Linked DNA regions of Anolis sagrei. The protein of the gene in region 1 interacts with the protein of each later gene in a biochemical or structural test. Links are inferred from orthologs where the notes say so. Each region holds a gene or a part of one and is shown on either strand. Other genes may lie near its edges.

The links.
Region 2: the proteins of CTNNA1 (region 1) and JUP form a complex in vitro, tested with the Homo sapiens proteins (2 studies listed by BioGRID). The link is inferred for Anolis sagrei from reciprocal best matches to the Homo sapiens genes CTNNA1 and JUP.
Region 3: the proteins of CTNNA1 (region 1) and TJP2 form a complex in vitro, tested with the Homo sapiens proteins (2 studies listed by BioGRID and IntAct, with this or other methods). The link is inferred for Anolis sagrei from reciprocal best matches to the Homo sapiens genes CTNNA1 and TJP2.

Annotation. Positions count from the first base shown.
Region 1 is NC_090021.1:140,799,057-140,807,042, reverse strand, and holds the start of CTNNA1 (catenin alpha-1), read left to right. Parts: upstream 1-4,943; 5' UTR 4,944-5,097; intron 5,098-7,986. UniProt on the Homo sapiens protein: Associates with the cytoplasmic domain of a variety of cadherins. The association of catenins to cadherins produces a complex which is linked to the actin filament network, and which seems to be of primary importance for cadherins cell-adhesion properties.
Region 2 is NC_090026.1:38,502,032-38,509,350, reverse strand, and holds the start of JUP (junction plakoglobin), read left to right. Parts: upstream 1-4,273; 5' UTR 4,274-4,390; intron 4,391-7,319. UniProt on the Homo sapiens protein: Common junctional plaque protein. The membrane-associated plaques are architectural elements in an important strategic position to influence the arrangement and function of both the cytoskeleton and the cells within the tissue.
Region 3 is NC_090022.1:221,774,768-221,782,648, reverse strand, and holds the start of TJP2 (tight junction protein ZO-2), read right to left. Parts: upstream 3,005-7,881; 5' UTR 2,926-3,004; coding exon 2,756-2,925; intron 1-2,755. UniProt on the Homo sapiens protein: Plays a role in tight junctions and adherens junctions. Acts as a positive regulator of RANKL-induced osteoclast differentiation, potentially via mediating downstream transcriptional activity.

The DNA.
Region 1 (7,986 bases):
GGAAACCCATTAGGTGGGCTTGGACAAATCATACTCAGCCACATCTTCTGTAGCAATGGCAAACCTCTTCTGAACAAATCTTGTCAAGATAGGTTGCTTTAGTGCCACCAGAAATCAGAAACAACTTAAAAGGCATACAACAAGAAATTGTTTATTGTTGATATGGATCAACACAGTATTCTGTATAGAAATTGTGGCCATAATGTGTGGTGGAGGGAATATTCAGAAAATACTGGGGGAAATAGGTTATTCAAGTGATGAAAGTGAGCACATGATGACTAATTTTTTATTGTTGTACCTTGGATTTATTGTAAGACATGACTCTAGAGAACACATAAACACTGGCCAACACATATTTTGGGTGTCAAATGTTAGACCTGTTTCTGGGTATATTTGACCTGATGATTTCAAAAATCGCATCAGCTTTCCCCTATCAACTCTATTTTTTGGGACACAGAACACATGCCATATTCCAGACAGGAAATCATGATAACCATATGTGATGACCTTATCATACAGGCCCATAGATTCATCCTCCATCAGGGGGAATCCATGGGCTGGCTCCAGTTGGGGGGTCTGGAGAAGCCACCGCTCCACACCCTGGATTGCTTTCCTTACCTTTTCCCTCATCCCATTGTTGGAGGGGGGAGCATCACTGCCCGACTTCCCCCCATTAAAGGAAAGGCAATACAGGACTTCCTTGTTGCCGCAGTGGTAGCCAATGTTGCTTCCTCTACCTTTTTGGCATGGAGCCCAGCCGGAAGTCTCTTTACATCTTGTGAAAGGCTCTGTACCATAAAGGGAGGTCAAGCCACCAACGACAGGCAAATCAATCCGTCTGATGAAGTTGTAAGAAACTTGAGCTGATGCAGTCTATCCAATGCAAAGGTGTGAATCAGCGCTCCAAATAACCCCAGGAACAGGCCTAAAACCCAAGACACCAGGGTTTGGGGGGGGGGGGGTTGGGGGGATGTGCAATGTTTGGGAATCCAACAGGCAGTGAGAAAAGAAAAGTGAAAGATTGCATTCCATTCAAGAAAGCCATGGCATCCAGTCTGCAAGATCTAGATGACTATCTGGTTTGGAGGGTTCCCAGATCTATTTGACGAAAGTTGGTAATATCAAGCCCCACTGGATATGGATGTGATACTCACTTGTTTCTTGTCTTTGCTGCTTAAGTCTCTTGGGTAGCACTGTTCAAAAAGACCCCTGTCTGACTACACAAGCAGAGAGAAAGACAGGCCAGGCTGACAAACTCCTCCACTTGCTGTTGCATTGACAAGTTAATCGGAGTGGTCAGCAGAAAAGGTGACAGATGGAGCTGTGAGTTGGAGCGGCCTGCTATGCACCCTCTAAGCTAGTCCTGTTGCACTCAGTAGAGGATAATGTCACATCTCCTATGCTGAAATAAGATTACTACATACCAACTGTTCAGATATGACAGGGACAATCCCTTTGTGATATTTTCCAACTCTTTATGATTCTATGACATACAATGATATGGTAAAATGGTGTCCCTCGTATAAAATGGCAAAGGTTTGCTTTTCTTAATTTTTTATTGAAATATTTTCAAGCTATGAATCATGGAATCCGTGGATGCAAAATCCATAAATACCAAGGGCCAGCTGTACTAAAGGGGGGCCCTTGTGTGAGAAGGTCCTAAATCCATGTTGGAAGCACTTACCTATGTCCTCCTAATATAGAGATACGGCGAGTGGATCTTTCGAGGTCTGACGTCACCATTATAGAATGCTGTCCCACATTAGGCTCACCTGGCCCCAATATTTACACCAAACATATAAAAGAATATTTTATAAAACATTGGGAGAAGGAGTAAGGAGTGTTGAGAGATCAAGATACAGGCAGTTCCCAAGTTATGAACAAGATAAGTTCGGTAGGTTTGTTTTCAAGTTGAATTCATTTGTAAGTCGGAACAGGTACATGTTTAAGTATAACTCCAGACAAAAATATTTATATTTTAGCTTTGGATAGCATAGGGAAGGGTTAACACCCCTGTGCCCCTGTTCAGAAGACTTCACCTCACTTTTTGCCCCTGTGTGACAACTGGATTTTGAAAAATATGGCTTGTCATGGAAACAAGGATTGGTGACATGGCTTCAGTGCAGACACCTTTTCCACATAACTCTTTTAAGAGTGAATTTCCCTTCCAAGGAGCGGGTTTCTCTCATTTCCTGTAGTCTCGCTCCCATTCTTAACTAGGAGTTGCTTAATAGTTGAATGTTTGTAACTCGAAGAATGTCTGTGTAAGCCTTACTTTTAAATTCACATTCTGTTTATTGTGTTTTAATTTCTGTTCCATATATTTTAATATGTGTATTTTATAGAAATATGTTATAATGCATGCTTTTTATGGAATGCATTTTAGTATTATTATGTATTTAATATGTTGTGCCCCACCTCTAGACATAACGAGATGGGACATATATATATACATACAACATACATACATAATATTATTGAGATATAAAATTTGTCATCATCATCGATATATATAGTGCCATCATACCGGATAACCCCAAATTTGTCACTCTCTCAGTTCAAGATCCCTCACAAGGTGGCTCTGAGGATGATGAGAGTTATACACAGCCGGAAATCCCCTGTGGATACCAAAATCTTTGAAGGTTCAAATCTCATAACATACAATAGCATAAAAGGGAAAGAGAAAGGTTTCCTCTGACATTAAGTCTAGTCGTGTCCGACACTGGAGATTGGTACTCATCTCCATTTCTAAGCTAGAGCTGGCGTTGCCCATAGAGGCCTCCAAGGTCATGTGGCCTGCATGGAGCACCGTTACCTTCCCATAGAAATGGTATCTATTGATCTACTCACACTTGCATGTTTTTGAACTGCTAGGTTGGCAGAAGCTGGGGCTAACAGTGGGACTCACCCCGCTCCCCAGATTCGAAACGTCTACCTTTTGGTCAGCAAGTTCAGCAGCTCAGTGGTTTAATCCCCTGCGCCACCAGGGGTCCCATACATATTAATATTATTGAGATATAAAATGTATCATCATCATCAATGTATAGTGCCATCATACCAGATAACCCTGAATTTGGCTGTCGTCTTAGTTCAAAAATTATAGGCTGCGTCTGCACTCATGAACTAACACAGTTTGACACTGCTTGAAGTGCCATGGCTCAATGCTAGAGGAATGTGGGAGTTGCAGTTTCGCAAGGCGACAAAAAAAGCCAGTGGGATTTTGGCCTCCATCAATAGTCTAGAGTCTAGATCTAGGGAAGTCATGCTACCACTCTATTCTGCCTTGGTTAGACCACACCTGGAATATTGTGTCCAATTCTGGGCACCACAATCCAAGAGAGATATTGACAAGCTGGAATGTGTCCAGAGGGGGGCAACTAAAATGATCAAGGGTCTGGAGAACAAGCCCTATGAAGAGCAGCTTAAGGAGCTGGCCATGTTTAGCCTGCAGAATCGAAGGCTGAGAGGAGACATGATAGCCATGTTTAAGTATGTGAGAGGAAGTCATAGGGAGGAGGGAGCAAGCCTGTTTTCTGCTGCCCTGGAGATTAGGATGCGGAACAATGGCTTCAAACTACAGGAAAGGAGATCCCATTTGAACATTAGGAAGAACTTTCAGACTGTGAGAGCCGTTCAGCAGTGGAACTCTCTGCCCCGGAGTGTGGTGGAGGCTCCTTCTTTGGAAGCTTTTAAACAGAGGCTGGATGGCCATCTGTCGGGGGTGCTTTGAATGCAATTTTCTTGCTTCTTGGAGGAGGGTTGGACTGGATGGCCCACGAAGTCTCTTCCAATTATAGGATTCTAAGGCTTCTCTGCCATGAGAGCTGTTGCCTCTGCAAATGACCAATCCCAGGATTCCATTGCACTGAGCTAGGCAGCTAGAGAGGAACCAATCCGCATTAATTGTACAGTGCAGACGCATCCTGCCTGGCAAGTTCTGGTAATACAATATTTTCTTCTGGCTCTGCCGGTGATCGCGTTGTGCTCGATTGTATATGAATGTCAAGTTTTAGCCTGGCTGTTGGTTGGTTGCCTTGAATCCTTTCTTCAGAAAATAGAGGTGAATATTAGTTCAATACACCAACAGCCATGAGAAGCTTTGACTGAGATGCCAGTGAGGGAGGGCCATGTTTCTCGTTTCTGGGTTGTTGTATTTTTTTTCGGGCTATATGGCCATGGTCTAGAGGCATTCTCTCCTGACGTTTTGCCTGCATCTATGGCAAGCATCCTCAGAGCTAGCGAGGTCTGTTGGAACTAGGAAAAAGGGTTTATATATCTGTGGAATGACCAGGGTGGGACAAAGGACTCTTGTCTGCTGGAGCTAGGTGTGAATGTTTCAACTGACCACCTTGATTAGCATACAATGGGCTGACTGTGCCTGGAGCAAACTTTTATTGAGAGGTTCTCGTTCCTTTCCTGAAATGGAGGCCCTTCCATGAGGAAATGGGAGGGATATGTTGTCCTACATATCGAGGAGAGTCCAGCCTTATATGGCAAACATTTCCTCTGCCTCTGAGGAAGTTTCTTCCTCTCAGAAAAGCCACCTGAGGCGCTTTCGGCCCTTGAGCCACGCATGCGCAGTCAACTCCTTCACCTGAAACTCTCTCCCTGATTCACTCCCTCCATTCCCCCCTCCCTTTCTTTGGCTGTTACAGCAATCGCCGCTCCTCCCCACTCGGTTTCCCTCCCTGTCCTACATTCCAACACCGACCCCCTTCGGGGAAAAAAAGGAAAAAAGCAGACGTTTGGGAGTGGAGGAGGAAAGGGTAAAGAACCATTTCAGAGAAGTCAGCGGGGAAAGTAAAGCACGGGGCGGGCTGGCACTAAACTTCGACAGCGGGGTGGGGCGGGCGCTGCTGGGAAGAGCCTCCGGGAGGGCGGCGCTGGGGAAGAGCAGCTGGAGCGGGCGGAGGGCGGTGCCGGGAAGAGCGGGGGGTTGGGAAAGAGAGCGGGGGGAGGTGCCCGGAAGAGCGCGGCTTCCTCGGCTTCTTTGGCCGGACAGGGCGCGGCGGGGCGGAAGACGGAACAGCCGCAGAAGCCAGGCGCGAGACGGGAGAGCGAGAGCAGAGGGGGGAGGACGAGCAACAGGAACAGCAGGTAACTTTCCCCTTCAGGAGGCGAACTTTTCCCATTTCGGGCCTGGTTTCCTCCACCGTCAAACTTTGGGAGCGTCGCTGCTGGGACTCAGAGGGAGAGAAGGAGAGAGGAGAGGCCTCTTGCCTGCTTAGTATTATTATCCCCCTCAAAGGGAAGGAGGCCAAAGGGGCGCGACGTTTGAGGCCTCTCCGCCGTCCTCTGGGCGGAGGCCTCATTCCAGGGATTTGAGCGCAAGGGGGGGGAGGGGAAGAGGGAGGAAGGGCCCAGCCTCACTTCCGCCAAGAGTTAGTTCTGGTTGTTGGAAGCTTCTCCATAGCCTCCCTCCATTCTTTCCTCCTTGACAGAACTCTCACTCCAACTTCTCTTTCTTTGGGAAGGCCTCCCTCTCCAAAGGGGGAACAATGCTGACTCCTCCTCACGTTGAAAACAAACTTTCAGCTGGGCGTGGGCCTTCATTGTGTGCGCTGGCGCACCAAGTTGGCCCAAGAGTGTGTAAACTTCAATGGAAAGGGGAAAATGCTATTATTATTACTAGCTGTCCCCTGCCACGCGTTGCTGTGGCCCAGTCTGTTGATCTGGAAAATAAAGTAATGAGAAAGTGTTGGTTTCTAATATATGTAATTTATTTCTGCTTGATAATCAGTATTTCTTGCTGTTTCTTTGTCAGTGTTGATGTGGAGATTGTCTGATTTTCCTACTCTGGACCATGCAACATATCACTGTCCTTCTTTAAGGGTCCCTTTCAAATCTATGATATTGTGTGTGAGAATCATATCTATCTATCTATCTATATTTATGGCTGGATGGCTCTTTGTCAGGATTACGTTTTCTTGCCCTGATGAAGGGAGTTGGATTGGATGGCCTTAAGTATTTACTATTGGTCATGGGGCTTCTGTGTGGGAAGTTTCCTCCAATTCTGTCGTTGGTGGGGTTCAGAATGCTCTTTGATTGTAAGGGAACTATAAATCCCAGTAACTACAACTTCCAAATGTCAAGGTCTCTTTCCCTCAAACTCCATCTGAGTTCATATTTGGGCATATGGAATATTCGTGCCAAGTTTGGTCCAGATCCATCATTGTTTGAGTCCACAGTGCTCTCAGGGTGTAGGTGGACTACAAGTCCCAAACTCAAAAACCCCCCAAAAGAATCAATGAATGAAATGTCAATGGCCACCAAATCTTTCTGGTGTTTTGTGCTGGTCATGGGAGTCCTGTGTGCCACATTTGGTTCAATTCCATCATTGGTGGAGTGCAGAATGCTCTTTGATTGTAAGTAAACTATAAATTCCAGCAACTACAACTCCCAAATGACAAAATCATAATTTTTGAGTGATGGTCACTCCTTGTGTTGTGAGACATTTTGTTGCCAAATTTGGTGTGATTTCGTTCATTGGTTATTTTGTTTTTAAGGAACTCATTATGCACAGAGCATTTATATATATATATATATATATATATAGATTATTATTACTAGCTGTCCCCTGCCACGCATTGCTGTGGCCTACATGGGGGTTCTGTGTGGGAGGTTTGGCCCAATTCTATCATTGGTGGGGTTCAGAATGCTCTGTGATTGTAGGTGAACTATCATCATCATCATCATCATTTAATTACTTATTAATCGCCCTCCATCCAAGATGCTCTAGGCGATTTACAAACTAAAATTGTAAAGGATAAAAATACATACATACAGATATTGATAAAATTAACATAGATCAAAAGCTCTAGTAAAAAGCCAAGTCTTAAGTGCTAGGGTAAAAGGCCCTAACTCACGAATGGCTCTCATATAGGGCGGCAAGGAATTCCACAAGGCAGGGGCAGAAATAGAAAAAGCTCTGCGTCTGGTCCTTTCCAGGTGCACTTCTCTAGGACCCGGTATATAAAGTAAGTCACGTTGGGATGGTCGTTGCGACCTCCGACGATGGGAGAATGAGAGATGGTCCCTAAGGTACGATGGACCCTGGCCATAAAGAATTTTAAAGGTCAGAACTAACATCTTATACAGGGCACGGTACTCAGTTGGAAGCCAATGTAAATGTTGCAGCACTGGTGTTATATGGCATTTCATGGGCGTTCTTGTGAGTAACCTGGCTGCCGCATTATGAACAATACGGAACTATCAATCCCTGCAACTCCCAAATGTCAAGTCTATTATCACCAAACTTCACCAGTATTTACATTTAGGCATACTGAGTATTCATGCCAAGTTTGGTCCATATCCATCATTGTTTGAGCCCACAGTGTCCTCTGGATGTAGGTGAACTACTATTCCAAAACCAAAGGACACTGCCCACCAAACCCTTCCAGTATTTTCTGTTGGTCATGGGAGAACTGTGTGCCACGTTTGGTTCAATTCCATCGTTGGTGGGGTTCAGAATGCTCTTTGATTGTAGGTGAACTATAAATCCCAGCAACTACAACTCCCAAATGACAAAATCAATTTTTTTAAATAAAGGACATACATTGGGTTCTTAGGTGTCTTGTGTCCAAATTTGGTGTCAATTCGCCCAGTGGTTTTTGAGTTCTGTTAATCCCACAAACAAACATTACATTTTTATTTATATAGATTTACTAGCCATCCCATGCCATGCATTGCTGTGGCCCAGTCTGTGTATATGTGGTTTTGTGCATGCGTTGTAATGCATTTTTTGGCCTTTTAAGTTGCTTCCACTGTGTTTTTATGAGTGATGGTCACTTGTTGGCCTGATAGGTGTATTGTGTCCAAATTTGGTGTCAATCGTCCAGTGGTTTTCGAGTTATGTTAATCCCACAAACGAACATTACATTTTTATTTATTTGGGTTATTTGAAAAAGTCAGTTTTTTTTTAAAAAAAATGTACAAACTACAAGAAAGGAGATTCCATCTGAACATTAGGAAGAATTTCCTGACTGT
Region 2 (7,319 bases), on another chromosome or scaffold:
ACTGCTGCAGGAAGAACCAGATCCTATGTAATATAGCATGAACCCAATCTCAATTCCAAAAGTGGTCTAGAAGGATCCTGTGATCATTAGCAACAGATCCTGCTGAGAGGTCTGGCAAGAAGCACCAACACAGCATCATTCTTCTCACCTAGAGTTTTAGCTGTCACGTATCGCATTTTCAGTTCCAAAAACTGACCTGGGGTTGGGCTGTGGCCACACATTAAAACCCCTTTCCCAAAAAGAGAAATAGAAACTGGCTGATATTTATGCAAAAGAAACAAAGTATAATTTGGGGATGCAACAAAGGTAGAAGTATTTGACATTCATAAGAGAGACCAGCCAAGGAAACCCACTGGATGATTTGGAAAAGTCATGATCTCTCAGCTTCAGATGAGGGCAAAGTGAAACCCTGAATACATGAAAAGCTGAATAAATCTTGCCATGGAAACCTGTGATAAGACCGCTTTAGGGTTGTCATAAATTGGAAATGACTTGAAGGCATACAACAAATGAGAGATGGAAAAGTAGATTGGGGTCATAGGAGAGTAAGAGGAAACTGGGAAAACAATGTAACTGGAGGGTTTTAGGCATAGATTGTAGGAAGGTAATATCTGAGGGGCACGGGACTGGTAATTGTTGTGGGTTTGTTATGTTAATTTGATAGTTTAATGTTCTCTCTTTCCTTCTCTGTTAGAAAAGTTCCTCTTAGAAGCAAGGTAGAATATAAGATTTTAAAAGAAATAAACCAATAAACAAAATAAATTAAAAAACAGGGAGACGCAAGAAAGAGATATGGAGGGCAAGATTCATCTTGAAAGTGTGGCATTGTAAGAAACAAAAAGGTTTTTAAAGAACTGGGGAATAAAGCATTGAGAGCAATACATGAAGGAAGAAAAGAGTGAAGAGAAATAATTATTGCAATAAATTGGAGGAACAGGTCAGAGGTCATCTTTCAAAGACAAAGCCGCAATCTATATGACTCTGACTATTCTGCTAGGGACCTAATATTGTCACTTGCAAATGCCAGGGATTCTAGCCACAGCCTTCAGTGTGATATATTCCAATTTTATTGCCAGTATTTCTTGTTCCATTTTATATTGGACAGACTGGAATAAATGGACACAAGCAGACATCAGAAACAATTATATATAATTCAAAATAATATTCACAACTCAGTGGGAGAAAACCTCAGAGTCCCATTACATTTGCCACTGTTATCAAGGTGGCTATCATTAAACAAAAGAACTTCAAAGAACTTCAAAGTACAAAAAGACCCCTCAAAGGGAGATTCCAAAAGAACAAGTATTCATCATGAGGTTCACCTCTATCACCTCTCATTTGATTAGAGACTCAGGCTTTTTATCTCCCTGCATGTGTTAATCTGCTCATCAAAGAAATGGTTTCTGTGTTACCACTTAAATACTGTTTGTTAATGGCAACTTTTAAGGTAATAATGATAACTGCTCATAATATATTTAAAATCCGTAATGCTAACTGCTGTTTGTTAATGGCTATTTTTCATCCCTATTATTTGCTAATGTACTTCTGCTTTTTAATTCCTTCCTATCCCACTGGTTACATCCCCTGTCCACCCGCTCGGTTGCCCACCTCAACATATATTTAATAATCTACCCACTGAGCCATTAATTCACTCATCTGATGAAGTGGGAGGCATGAAAACTTATGGCACATAAAATGTTTTCAAGCGCCATGAGACTTTTGTGGCTAAAAAGGGAGCGTGAAGGGGACATTTCATTTAGAAGCAGGAAGTTTGTGAAGTTGGGCTGAGAATTTTGATCACATGGGAATTTGGGGGGCTGTTTTAATGCCAGAAGGCTGCCCTTGACAAATGTATCCTTCTGGAATACAACACCCAGAACCCCCACCCAGCATACTTTGTTGAAAAAGTGGGGTATATCCTAAAGCAATGGTTCTCAACCTTATTTTGACCAGGGACCACTTTGACCAGAGACTATCCTCCAACATTAGTACCAAAAAGGTTACGAAATGGTTTTTTGGTCAACTTTAGATTCAGTTTGCTTATTTGGGGTGCTGATTCAAAAAACTGCATTGGATAGACCACATCAGCTCTGGTTTCTGATACAGAACATATGCCATCCAGTAGTCACCATCTGCTCACCCACAGAAAACCATATTTAATAATCTCTAGAGCTGATGTGGTAGTAGTAATATTTTGTGGATGGTCAGCCTTTCCCCTCCCAACATCCCCGTTGCCTCAGCACTATAAGATGGTTCTGCAAGACCAGTCACTCTTGTTGCTGAGTGGTTTCGAGGCAACGGAGTAGTAATGGTGAGGCCACGGACCATATTTTCATGCTTGCAGACCAGGGCCTCTCCAGATGATCTGACAAATCGTGTGGGCTCATATATGGAGATGCGGTCACGCAGGTAGGCGGGTCCCAAACTGTTTAGGGCTTTGTAGGTAAGCACCTGCACCTTGAATTGGGACTGGAAAATGAATGGCAGCCAATGGAGCTCCTTAAACAAGAGGGTTGACCTCTTTCTGTAAGGAGCACCAGTTAACCACCTGGCCGCCGCCCGTTGTACCAGTTGGAATTTCTGAGCCGTTTTCAAGGGCAGCCCCACATAGAGCGCATTGCAGTAGTTCAATCTGGAGGTGACCAAGGCATGGACCACCCTGGCCAGATCAGCCTTCATGAGGTCGCAGTTGGCGCATGAGTCTCAGTTGTGCAAAAGCCCTCCCGGCCACCGCCGACTCCTGAGCTTCAAGCGTAAGTGATGAATCCAAGAGGACACCCAAACTGCGGACCTGTGACTTCAGGGGGAGTGTAACCCTGTCCAGCACAGGTTGCCACCCTATACCCCGATCCAGTTTACGATCAACCCAGGCCCGTAGCCAGGATTTTGATCCGGGGGGGGGGGGGGGGCTGAGTTTGTTTTTTTGGGGGGGGCTGAGTCTGAGTGAAAGAGGGTCTACCCTAGCAAACCTTTTGTATTGTTACCCCAATACCCCCATGCATATGGGATATATTGAGCACGGTGATCAGATCATGATATGAATAAACATAACAGTTTAAATAATGCACCAGTAAGGCCTTTTCGCGAACCACCATGAGAATTTCAGGGGGGGGGGGCTGAAGCCCCTCAAGCCCCCCCCCCCCCCCCCCGGCTACATGCCTGACTCGACCAGGAGGACCTCTGTCTTGTCGGGATTGATCTTCAGCTTGTTCATCCTCATCCAGACAGCCACAGCAGCCAGGCACTCGTCCAGCACCCGAGGGGCTTCCTTGGAGTTAGGTGGAAAAGAGTAGTAGAGTTGTGCGTCATCTGCATAGAGCTGGCACCCAACTCCAAAACTCCGGATGACCTCTCCCAGTGGTTTCATGTAGATGTTAAAAAGCCATCTGTCAGGGGTGATTTGAATGCAATATTCCTGCTTCTTGGCAGGGGGTTGGACTGGATGGCCCATGAGGTCTCTTTCCAACTCTATGTTTCTATGATTCTTCTGCAGGCTAAACATGCCCAGCTCTTTAAGCTGCTCCTCATAGGGCTTGTTCTCCAGACCCTTGATCATTTTAGTCGCCCTCCTCTGGACACATTCCAGCTTGTCAATATCTCTCTTCAATTGTGGTGCCCAGAATTGGACACAGTATTCCAGGTGTGCTCTAATCAAGGCAGAACAGAGGGCTTTTAAACAGAGGCTGGATGGCCATCTGTCAGGGGTGATTTGAATGCAATATTCCTGCTTCTTGGCAGGGGGTTGGGCTGGATGGCCCACGAGGTCTCTTCCAACTCTTTGATTCTATGATTCTATAGGCCAAAATCCTATTGGCTTGTTTTTACAAGAAGCAATATGTGTGTTTGTGTCTACACATAAATATCACACAAACACACCAATATATACTGTTGTAATGATGTTATTCAATAAAAAATATCGTTTTAATATTTCAAAAATCGAAATGACTTCTTGCCTCAAACCTTCCCCTCACCATGCGCTTCTTCTTCTCCTCTCACCTCAAACCTCCTTCAAAACACTCCCGCCTCGCCCGACGGGGACGAAACCACGCCCCTTTTCGGCCTTGGCTCCGCCCACACCTGCCGGGCATTCCACTTTCCCAACCGTTCTTTCCAGGCTCCACCTCCTCCTGCACCCTCGTCCAATCAGAAGACCCGGGCTGTAAACACCCCAGCCGGGGCGAGGCGAAGTTGGGTGGGGGCGGTCTCGCGCGCCCCCTCCCCTCGCGGCCGAGGCAGCCAATCAGAGCTCCGAGGGGCGTGGCTTGTGTCCATGGGGACCGGGGCTGGGCTCGGCTCAGTCAGGGAAGGTCTCGGCTCGCCCCCATTGTTCGCGCGGAGCCAGTCGGAGCGGAGCCAGAGGCGAGCAGGGCGGTGGCGACGGGGCCGGCAGGTGGGTGCCAAGCGGGGGGCTTGGAAGGGGGGCAGCCCTCACGAAGGAGGGGGTCGTGAGGCTTTCCGAGGGGGGTTTCCTGTGGAGAAGGCAGCCCCTGAAGGAGGGGAACCCATTCCCTGTTTCCGGAAGTGGCCAGGACTGTCCCAGAGACAACAACAAGTAACACCTGGGGACCGGAAAGTGCTGCTCAAGGCATTCAGGGTCATAACCCCAAACTCTTCTCTTTTCTCTGCCTCAGCCTATAGGATGTGGAGACCCTATACAATAGGAACAAGAGCTCCTGGGGTCGAATTGGGCGTGGTGGGAGAAGGAAAGGAAGGAACAGAACCCTCAGTAGGAGTGGGTTAATGTTAGGGAAATGTCCAAAATAGTATTTTAAATACAAGACAGGATACTAAACTGAGTAGTCGACTCACAGCAAGCAGGAGGTGTAGTGTTGTGACTGTGAAACAGGCATGGGCAAACTTCGGCCCTCCAGGTGTTTTGGATTTCAACTCTCACAATTCCTAACAGCCGGTAGGCTGTTAGGAATTGTGGGAGTTGAAATCCAAAACACCTGGAGGGCCGAAGTTTGCCCGCCGGCTGTTATGAATTGTGGGAGTTGAAATCCAAAACACCTGGAGGGCCGAAGTTTGCCCATGCCTGCTGTAAAATATTTACTGAACCAAAGATGCAGACTTTCAATTCTTACAGTTTCAAAAAGTTTATTTAAAATATATTATTTATCTAAAACATTTATATTTCGCCCTTCTCACCCCAAAGGGGACTCAGGGCGGAGCACAGCATATATATATATATAAGGTGAACATTCAATGCCTAGACAAGGATTCATATACACATACATAAACATTAAAAAACATTTATCATAATATTAAAATTCACCATTTTAAACCGTCTTGGTCATCTGCGTCAAATCTAATCCACCTGGTAATTTTTCCTATTGCTACTTTATTGTCCTTTTTCGAACGCTTGGTCCCACAGCCAAGTTTTTACCATCTTTTTTTTTCAATATTTTTTTATTAAGTTATTATACATATGCCTAAAAGAGAAAGGTTTACAAGGAAAGTGGGAGAACATTTAGATATAGGATAGTAGGAAATTTTTAGAATCCGTATATATAAAAAAAAATATCAAAAAAATAGAGAAATAATAATACTACAAAATAAAAAGGTTTTGTTGACTTCCATTCTGTGTCTTCGCTTACAAATTTTTCAGTTTAAGTTTTCTCTTCATATGTTGTTAAGATCTTTCCTTTAGATGGTTTTCAAATAGTGACCAATTTGTATCCTTTATTGGTTTTCCCATGTTTTTCTTCAAAAAATAGGTTGATTTGTCTATGTCCTTAATCTCCTGTAGTTTGACTATCCAGTCTTCTGCCTCCGGAGTTTTGCCGATTTTCCAAATTCTTGCATAAGATATCCTTGCTGCCGTTGAGATATAAGTAAATAAAATATCAATATTTAAGTCTGAAGAGAATTCTGAGTCCATAATATATTTAATAAGTAATATTCTGATTTACTTGGGAATTGTATTCCCAGTATTTTTTTTTGTGTCTCTTGGTTAATATTTTTCCAGTAATTTTGAGCTTTCTTACACAACCACCACATATGAAAAAAGCTGCCCTCTGCCTCGTGACATTTCCAACATTTCTTGTCCATATTTTTATACATTGATCCTAATTTTTTGGGTGTAATGTACCATTGATGGAACATCTTAAGCCAATTTTCTTTTAAGTCCATTGCATAGTTCAACAGTGGAACTCTCTGCCTCAGGGTATGGTGGAAGCTACTTTCTTGGAAATTTTTAAACAGAGCCCAGATGACCATCTATCAGGGATACTGATTGTGCTTTTCCTGCATGGCAGGGGGTTGGGCTAGATGGTCTATGTGGTCTCTTCCAACTCTATTACTCTGTGATTTCTTGATAGAAAATATTGGGCCTAATTTTCTCTCTTCCATTCTTCTTTATTTTTATTTATTAAAATAAGCATAAAATGTAATTTTTTGTTGCATACAGTGATAATATTGAGACATCTATTATATTTTCAAGCTGCTAAGTGTTCGTTAGCATTTCTAACACATTATCTATAATTAAGGACTCTCTGGCATCTGTTTGAGTAGGACAGGTAAGAGAGTCAGAGATTCTAAGTTAATATCAGTTTTCTCTTTGCTTGCAGCCTTATAGGATCCTCTGTGGATATTTCTACAACCAGCTTAGCTTTATTTTATTGTTGAGTTGCTGGATTGCCAGCTCCCATTCTTTAATGACTTACACTATATAAATCCTTTTGGTTTCTAGACCATTGCTACATCAAACTATATTTTCACATCTGAAAACCTATTGTTTTTAGTTATCACGCAACTGTTTGTGTAGAAAAGGTTCGGTCTAAGCTTCTCTCTAACCCTATTACTTCTAAGATTCAAACAAAATGGAAAAAATTCTAAATACTACATTTTCTCAATCATGCAGAGTAGAGAGGGTTCTGAACGAAAGGGTGAAAAAGAAGTGTGACCCGAGGCCTTAAAATGAGAGGACATGCATCCTAAAGAACTGCCATTCTATTTCATCAATTAGAATGGGGGAGAGAGAAAGCGAGCGAGAGAAAAACAGATGCATCAACAGCCTAGCCTAAGTTATCTAGTTGCTTCTCATTGAGGACTGCAGACTTGAGCAGTGTGTGGTTGAATTCCAACAGCTAAAGAGTAGACAACCTTACAATACGTCTGGAGGAAGTGAGGGGGCATTTCTTCTGGGAGAGAATTTTGACATCCCTCGTTGGGTTAAAGAGCTAATAGCTCCTTGCCCTTTAATCAAAGGTCTCAAGTCTTTGCAGTTTGGGGGTTTCCCTTGTCAGGGTAAATTACAATGATGAACAGAAGGGCTTGCATTCAAGGTGGGTCTGAAGAAGGATGTAGGGAGGGGTAAG
Region 3 (7,881 bases), on another chromosome or scaffold:
CCCAAATCTGGAGACAATATCCAAAGGAGAGTAAGTTATCCACTGGATTCCCTACCATGTAAGTTACATAAACCAAGACTGAGCTGCTGCTCCCAAAAATCCTGCCTGATTCTAACATTACTACCATCCTATGGATGGACAAAAATATATATAAAGCCAGATTTTTTAAACATCTAAACCATTATAACTGTTGCTTAAGAATTTGTATCACATTTTTTTTAGTTGAGTCTGACAACACAATAAATTATTTCCATTAACTTTACTTTGCTCTTCCCTAACAATGAATGAAGTGTTGTTTACTTGACATTTACAACAAAAATACTGAAATCTCTATGTCAATATTTTCTAATATTCTACAAAATGATTTCAGCATTGAGGCTGCGGTGGAGCAACAGGTTAAACTGCCGAGCTGCTGAACTTACTGACTGGAAGGTTGCGGTTCGAATCCTCAGGATGGGGCGACCTCCCATTGTTAGACCCAGTTTCTTCTAGCCTAGCACTTAGAAAACGTGCAAATGTGAGTAGATCAATAGGTACCACCTCCGCAGGAAGGTAAACAGTGCTCCATGCAGTCATGCCAGCCACATGACCTAGGAGGTATCTATGGACAATGCCTCCTAGGCTTAGAAATGAAGATGAGCATCACTCACCCCCCCCCCCCCCCCCAGAGCTGGGAGGGGAAGCCTTTACCTTTATCTGTGTTTCTTTGTCATGTTTCTATGCATTGAATGTTTGCCTTTGTGTTTGTGTATGCTGGAATCCACCCTGAGTGCCCTTGGGGACATAGGGCGGAATACAAATAAGTCGTTGTTGTTGTTGTTGTTGTTAGAATTAGCATTAGCATTAAGAATTTATGCTGTGCAGTATGGTACCAGTTATATTTGGATATTTTTTAAGCTGACAAATAAATGTTGCTTTGGGAAAATGTTAAGGGTTTAAATCTCTTGGGAAAATACAAAAAACTTTATCAATTGGCGGAGAAATCAAACACAGATTAATGTACCGTAGTATCTGCAGTGCAACTGCTGTGATGGTGAGCCATATGGACCACTTCAGATTTGTTTTCTACAATCTGCTAGTATATGCTATTGCTGCAGCAAAAGCTATCCAGAGCTTAATCCACACTGCTTTGAATTGCAACTAAAAAAGATAAGGTTTTCTAATTATACACTTCCGCAGCATGAGTGTCTATGGTGAAGCTGCAGTTAACAACTGAATCAGAAAAGGGGAGCGGACTGTGATTTGGGGATCCCAAACTATGGGAGGAAAACTTGCAGTCCACCCCCACCTTCAAATAAACTGATTTTATTTGTACAGTGCCTAGCACTTTAGACACTTAATATAATGGGCTATGATACAAAGCACTACATATCCATGCTTAGAGATAGGCTTTCCAGCTCATAATTCTCCAGATAAGATATTACCCCTAAAGCTCTGTTAAATTTGTGGCTCCGGGGACATGAGACCTAAAGGAACATGAACAAAAACACATGCTATAGGTACATGCAAGCAATAGAAGTACTGTAAATTATTATTCATCATTATTTTATTTATACCCCACTTTGCCCCAGGCTCAAGAAGCAAGATGGATTATAGGAATTCAAATGTATAAAGATAAAAGCTCACATCACACTTATACAGACAACCTGGGTTCATTTTAACTGAGCATCGCAGAAGAGAAACAACACCTTGCTTCAGTTTTGAGTATATCCTTGTTCTGCAGTAAATTGCTTTTTAAAAATCCATGCCTTTAATCATCTAGGCCATCAAGATTTGCTTTAATGAGTACATATATATCTTTATTTGGTTTCTGTGAGTTTTCTGGGATATATGGCCATGTTCCAGAAGCATTCTCTCCTGACCTTTTGCCCTTATCTATGGCAGGCATCCTCAGAAGTTGTGAGGTCTGTTGGAAACTAGGCAAGTATCTGTATTGTTTAATTTATGCTACAGTGACTTGCCATTCTGAAGCACACAGAAATGCAGCATTTCTTAGAAAAGATACTGTAATGAAGAAAGTAAGCTTTTTGGTCAAGCTGGCTCTCAGGCCACAGCAGCTATTGCTGAGTTGGATCTAAACAATTTGCATCATTCTGCGTCTGCTCAGTGATCATAAATATTTTTCAATGGCAGTCAGACTTCCCATTCATTCCTAATAACATGATTCTAGACTGCCGATGTGTAACATATGTGCATTGTATTCCCACCTCCATCACAGAAACTGGAAGGGAAGGAGACACTGGCTGTAAAGACATTAATGGAGCATTGAAGCATTTTTGCTGTGTATGTGTGTAATGCAAAAAATATAATAGGCTTTTTGTAAGGGGTGGGAGGACCCTAAGCCAATTCAAATTACTTTTATTCAGCAATGTGAGCATCTTTCCAGATTCTAGCCCCATCATTAAATGTGCGAGCATCAGAAAAAAGTAATCAAGGAGCAATCCGTTACATTCCTACTTGATCTGCCCTTGCTCCAAGTCTGCATGGGCTTATCTACTAAGTTCCTTGTTTTTAAAAAGTTTACACAGAGGCTTAAAAGCTATTACTGACAATTCCTCCCATTTATCCCAGCCACCCATTTGCCAGCCAAGAACACCACAAATACACACCAGCAAGAAAACTACGTGCAGTTCCTGCAGCTTCCCAATTAACCATTTCTCCCATTTGCAGGCAATGCCCACAGCTCCCTTGCACACGGTTTCACAGAGTCAATATTTGTTTTTACAATTATTCATTTACCCAATGTGTGACTTACCCTGGATGCTGCCAAAGATTTGCATGTCGAACCACAGGTAACAATTCCCTCTTATTGAGAGGGGTGATCCCAATTGCAGCTTCAAGAATGGTGATGTACTTCTTGTACTTCATCCTGCCTCTTTCAATGCACCGCTGAAAAAAGCTACCACCTGCTTCTGGATGCAGCATTGGAAAGCATCTGGCCCCAGCAACCTGACTGAACTACAGTGCTGTTTTTCAAAATGTGTAACACACATTGCAAGCTGGGAGTTATAAAAATAACTTTTGGGAAAAGAGTTATAAAAAAAACCCCAAACAGATTCCTGACAGATTCCCCTGAAACGTCATGGTTACATAATTCCAGCGATCTTTGAATAAAGCACTAATGAAAATGAGTCAAGAGACAATCAAGGTCTAAGCCCGCCTGATAATGTACACTCTCCAATTTACTAATCCTTTGCTAAATCTCCAAGGCTTATAATCTTCCAAGTACTAATGGAGTAGCAGGTGACTCGTCTCTCAAATCAAGTAAAGGGCTGCTAAAGATTTGTTCGCTAAACTTTATATAGTGCAGAATGCAAAACATCCTATTTTCTCAATTTTTGGGAGCCGCACTGATCATATCATAAAAATCAATAATAAAGGGAGAACAAAAGGAAGCAATACGTAAAAAAGAAAAACACAAACTTTGCAGGGACAGGAAAACTGAGACCTACATTGATCTGGACATAATTGAGAGAAACAATTTCATTCATTTGTAGTGGACCTTGTAAATACGAATAGATACTCTCTTGCTTGGCCATAATAAAAGGTAACTGTTTCCTTTAACATTAAGTCTAGTTGTGTCCAACTGGGAGGTGGTGCTCATCTCTATCTGGCATTGTCCATAGGCACCTCCAAGGTCGTGCGGCTAGCATGACTACGTGGAGTGCTGTTACCTTCCCACAGAAGTGGTACCTATTGATCTATTCACATTTGGATGTTTTTGAACTGCTAGAATGACAGAAGCTGGGACTAACAGAGGGAGCTCACCCCACTCCCCAGATTTGAACTGACAATAATAATAATAATAATAATAATCTGTATTTGTATCCTGCCACCATCTCCCCAAACGGGGACTCGGAGCGGCTCACATGAGGCCAAGCCCAAGCAACAAATTACAATAAAACAATAAAGTACAAAGCATATAAATACAATAACCAATATACACAAAACATAAAGCAATAAACAACATAATGACAGTAAAAATGGTTTAAAAACTCAGGGTGAGATAAAAGGGGCAGATTATTTGCATAGGGGAACTCATAGAGACACAGTGTAATAAACATACCTTTGTACAAGGGGGGGGGGTACTCTTAGGTCAAAATGTTGAGGGGGGCAATAGCTAAAGCTTGTGTGGCTACTCTCCAAAAGCGCAGCGGCACAGCCAGGTCTTGAGATTCTTTTTAAAGGTTTCTAAGGTAGGGGCTTTCCTAAGCTCACCGGGCAGTGAGTTCCAGAGTCAGGGAGCCACAGAGGAGAAGGCTCTTCTCCTTGTACCCTCAAGGTAAGCCTAAGAAACTGGCAAGGGTGAAAGGAGGGCATCCCCCGAAGATTGAAGAGCTTGATCTGGTTCATGGAGAGAGATACGGTCACGATGGTAGGTGGGTCCCAAACCGTTTAGGGCTTTATAGGTAAGAACCTGCACCTTGAATTGAGACCAGAAAATGAATGGCAGCCAATGAAGCTCCTTAAACAGGTGGGTTGACCACTCCCTGTAAGTTGCCCCAGTTATTAATTTGGCTGCCAAGCATTGGACAAGTTGTAATTTCTGGGCTGTCTTCAAGGGTAGCCCCACATAGAGTGCATTGCAGTAATCCAGTCTAGAGGCAACTAAGGCATGGACCACCATGGTCAAGTCAGAGGTAGAGGGTGTGACCTAAGCCCGGTGACCAGAGAGCGGATCAATAGATCTACAAACACCTTTCTAAAAATGATGCCCAGTGTTTTATCAAGTGAGAACAGCTCCTCCGCTAGCAGTCTGTCTTCCAATGAGATGAGAAGACATGTAGAATGGTCCCAGGATAAAGCCAGTCAATGGTTTTGATTTTCACTTCTGACCGGCTTACAGATAGAATTTGGGATAGAGAGATCTGGACCGCTCTCTTTGATGTCCATTTGCCTCCGTTCCATAATGAGTCTGAAATTTCCCCAGCCAAGTTATTAGTCCTCAGCAGATGTTGACAATGGTGTGGAGTGTCCAAAGTTTGTTCAACAGACTCAGTTGTGAACTTATTTTCTATGTTGTGCAAGACAAAGTTTGTCTGATCCGTCCTCCCCCCTTCCTCTAAAAGCCTCAATTCCTGACCTATTATCTACTTTCTGCCCCTCAAACCTATTTCTCTCCTGGCCTTTCGTTGCAGCTACATCCTCAACAAAATTTGTCAACACAGCGGGTTCAGCAGCTCAGCAGTTTAATCTGCTGCACCACCAGGGGACAATAATAGGCAAGAAAATATCTGGTTATTCCACTCACAAAAAGAACCAGCACATATAAAGACGTTTTGTGGACTAACAATATTATTTATTTGCTTTGCTGTAAGCTCAGGGTCAGCTCTACAATTAGGCAAAGTGAATATGCCAGCTCAGGAAACAGATTTAAGATATCACAACAGCCCTCAAAATATGTAATTATTAATGTATATCTTCTGTTGGAGGCAGGGAGATATGTTTTTGCACCACATGTACCAAACAATATGGTAGGCATTATGACTTGGGTTAATCAAGAGGTACTGTATGATGTTTTGCCTAAAGTCAGCCTTGTAGTGAGTGGAAAACATTACACCCTCCACATCAAGCACCAATAAGGTCCCCTCAAACTATTTGAATGCATATACACTGTAGAATGAATGCAGTTTGACACCACTTTAACTGCTATGGTTCACTGCTGTTGTATTCTGGTGAGGCACTACTACTCTTTGGCAGCAAAGACTAAAGACCTTGTACAACTACAACTCCCATGATTCCATCACATTGAGCCATAATTATTAAGGTATTACCAAATTGCATTCATTCTACAGTATAGATGCACCTAACATTCTGTGGATCTATTATTTTAATTCAGTAACACTTCCTATGGTAGATGGGGAGTTGATATGGGTTTGTGGGCCGCATTTTCTCTACCTTTTATTTATAACAGAGGAGCCCCCGGTGTCGCAATGGGCTAAATCCTTGTGCCGGCAGGACTGATAACTGGCAGGTCAGCAGTTCAAATCAAGGGAGAATGGGTTGAGCTCCCTCTGTCAGCTCTGGCTCCTCATGGAGGGACAGAAGAGAATCCTCCCACAAGGATGGTAAAACATCCGGGCGTCCCATGGGCAACGTCCTTGCAGATGGCCATTTCTCACACATCAGAAGCAACTTGCAGTTTCTCAAGTAACTCCTGGCATGAAAAAAATTACATCAGAGATGGGTAGCTGTGTTCCCCAAGTATGTTTGGCCATAATTCTCACGAGCAATAAACAGCATAGTTAATAATGAGAAATTGGGGGACATGAAGTCCAGAAACATCTGTAGAACCTCATCTATAGCTATCCTTAATGCCAAAGAGGCCCATGTAGTAGAATCAGTGTTCTATATATTTTGTATTTATTAACAAATACTTTTCCCTGTTGTAGACTAAATTACTCCCAAACCCATATTGTACAATTAAAGTGTTCAAAATGGGTGAAAATCAGCTGGTAATAAGAAGGGGAGAAATGCTGACAGGGAAGTGCATGACAAAAACAAAAGCAATTAGTTCTGGAATTTACTCATATTTTCTGTTAATCTTGTGAAGAATTTGCAGGTTTCTTTTAATCTTTGTGATCTGCTCAAGACATTGGACAACATTTGTCACACTGGATTATTCACAACATCATTAAGAAAGAAGAGAGAGAATATGCAACAATGTTCCTTTCCTTCAACCCCAGATATATTGTTCAAAACTTTTCTTGTGCCCGTATTCAGCCCATGGGTTTGCCAACCAGTAGGGTGTTTCCATAGGTTTCATATGCCCCACAGACTCTCATTATGACTTGAAGCATGATTCTTGTACACAATCTAGTCGCCTGTCTAACTGGCAAAATTAAAAAAGAACTACAAGTGAGTTCCTTTTTTCAGTATTGCAACGTTATTTCATTGTTGATAAAATGAACACAGGGAAGCAGAAATTATTCTCTTATCTTCCATTTACCTTCAAAATACTGCGAGACAAATTAGGTTCAGGTCAAGAGAATAGCGTAAGTGCATCAGGAGGGTTTTAACTGTCTCCCCATTTTTCATGTCCTAACTTTTCCCAACCTCTTGTCCTTCAAATGTGTTGATGTATAAATCAACTTATATACAGCAGATTATATATTCTGCAGGGTGGGAAAATTGTAACCCATAAGTCACATTTGTCCCTAAGGCAAATTTGAGATCTTCAGCTCCCCCAAATATGTTGCTGAGATTTATTCTACCACATTTCTCTACCAACCAAAGCTCAGGAGATGCATGTTTTCAAGGCTGTTTTCAGTTTACATCTTGGTTGTAAAATGGTCTCTGTTGGACCCCAAGCAACTCAGCTAGACCCCCAAATGGGATAAAACCAGTACAGCACACTACCTTTCAGTGTATCATCTCCCTGTTATTGTTCACCTAATGATGCAAGCCTTGTGAATCAGCTCTACAGTGAATTAAGTGTCTTCAAATTACCTTTGGGTTTATTGTGACCCAATTAATTTCACAGGGTTTGCTTATGTAAGGAATACATGGAGGTGTTTTGCCATTGCCTTCCTCCAGATATTTCAAGGGGGTTTTTTTTATGCCAAGAGACCCATGGCTCTAGGGCTCTCTCCACCTCATTACATGTAGAACATGCATGTCTGGCTCATGCCCACATCAGTCCTCGCTTCCAGGGCCAGACCTTGCATTTGGCTGAACTAGCCAGCTGGTTTAAGCATCATATTTTTAATGCCACAGGAGGGCAACAACCTGTTAATCCCTGAATTTATTTTCGTGATTTTTTTCATAGAGTGAATTGTCAAATGTTCCGCTTCAGATGCCAGAGTAGCTTCCCTAGTTTGGGGTATCATGTACCTTGTACCTTTGTTTCAGGCAGCAAAATGCCATGTGCTCGCTACTGTG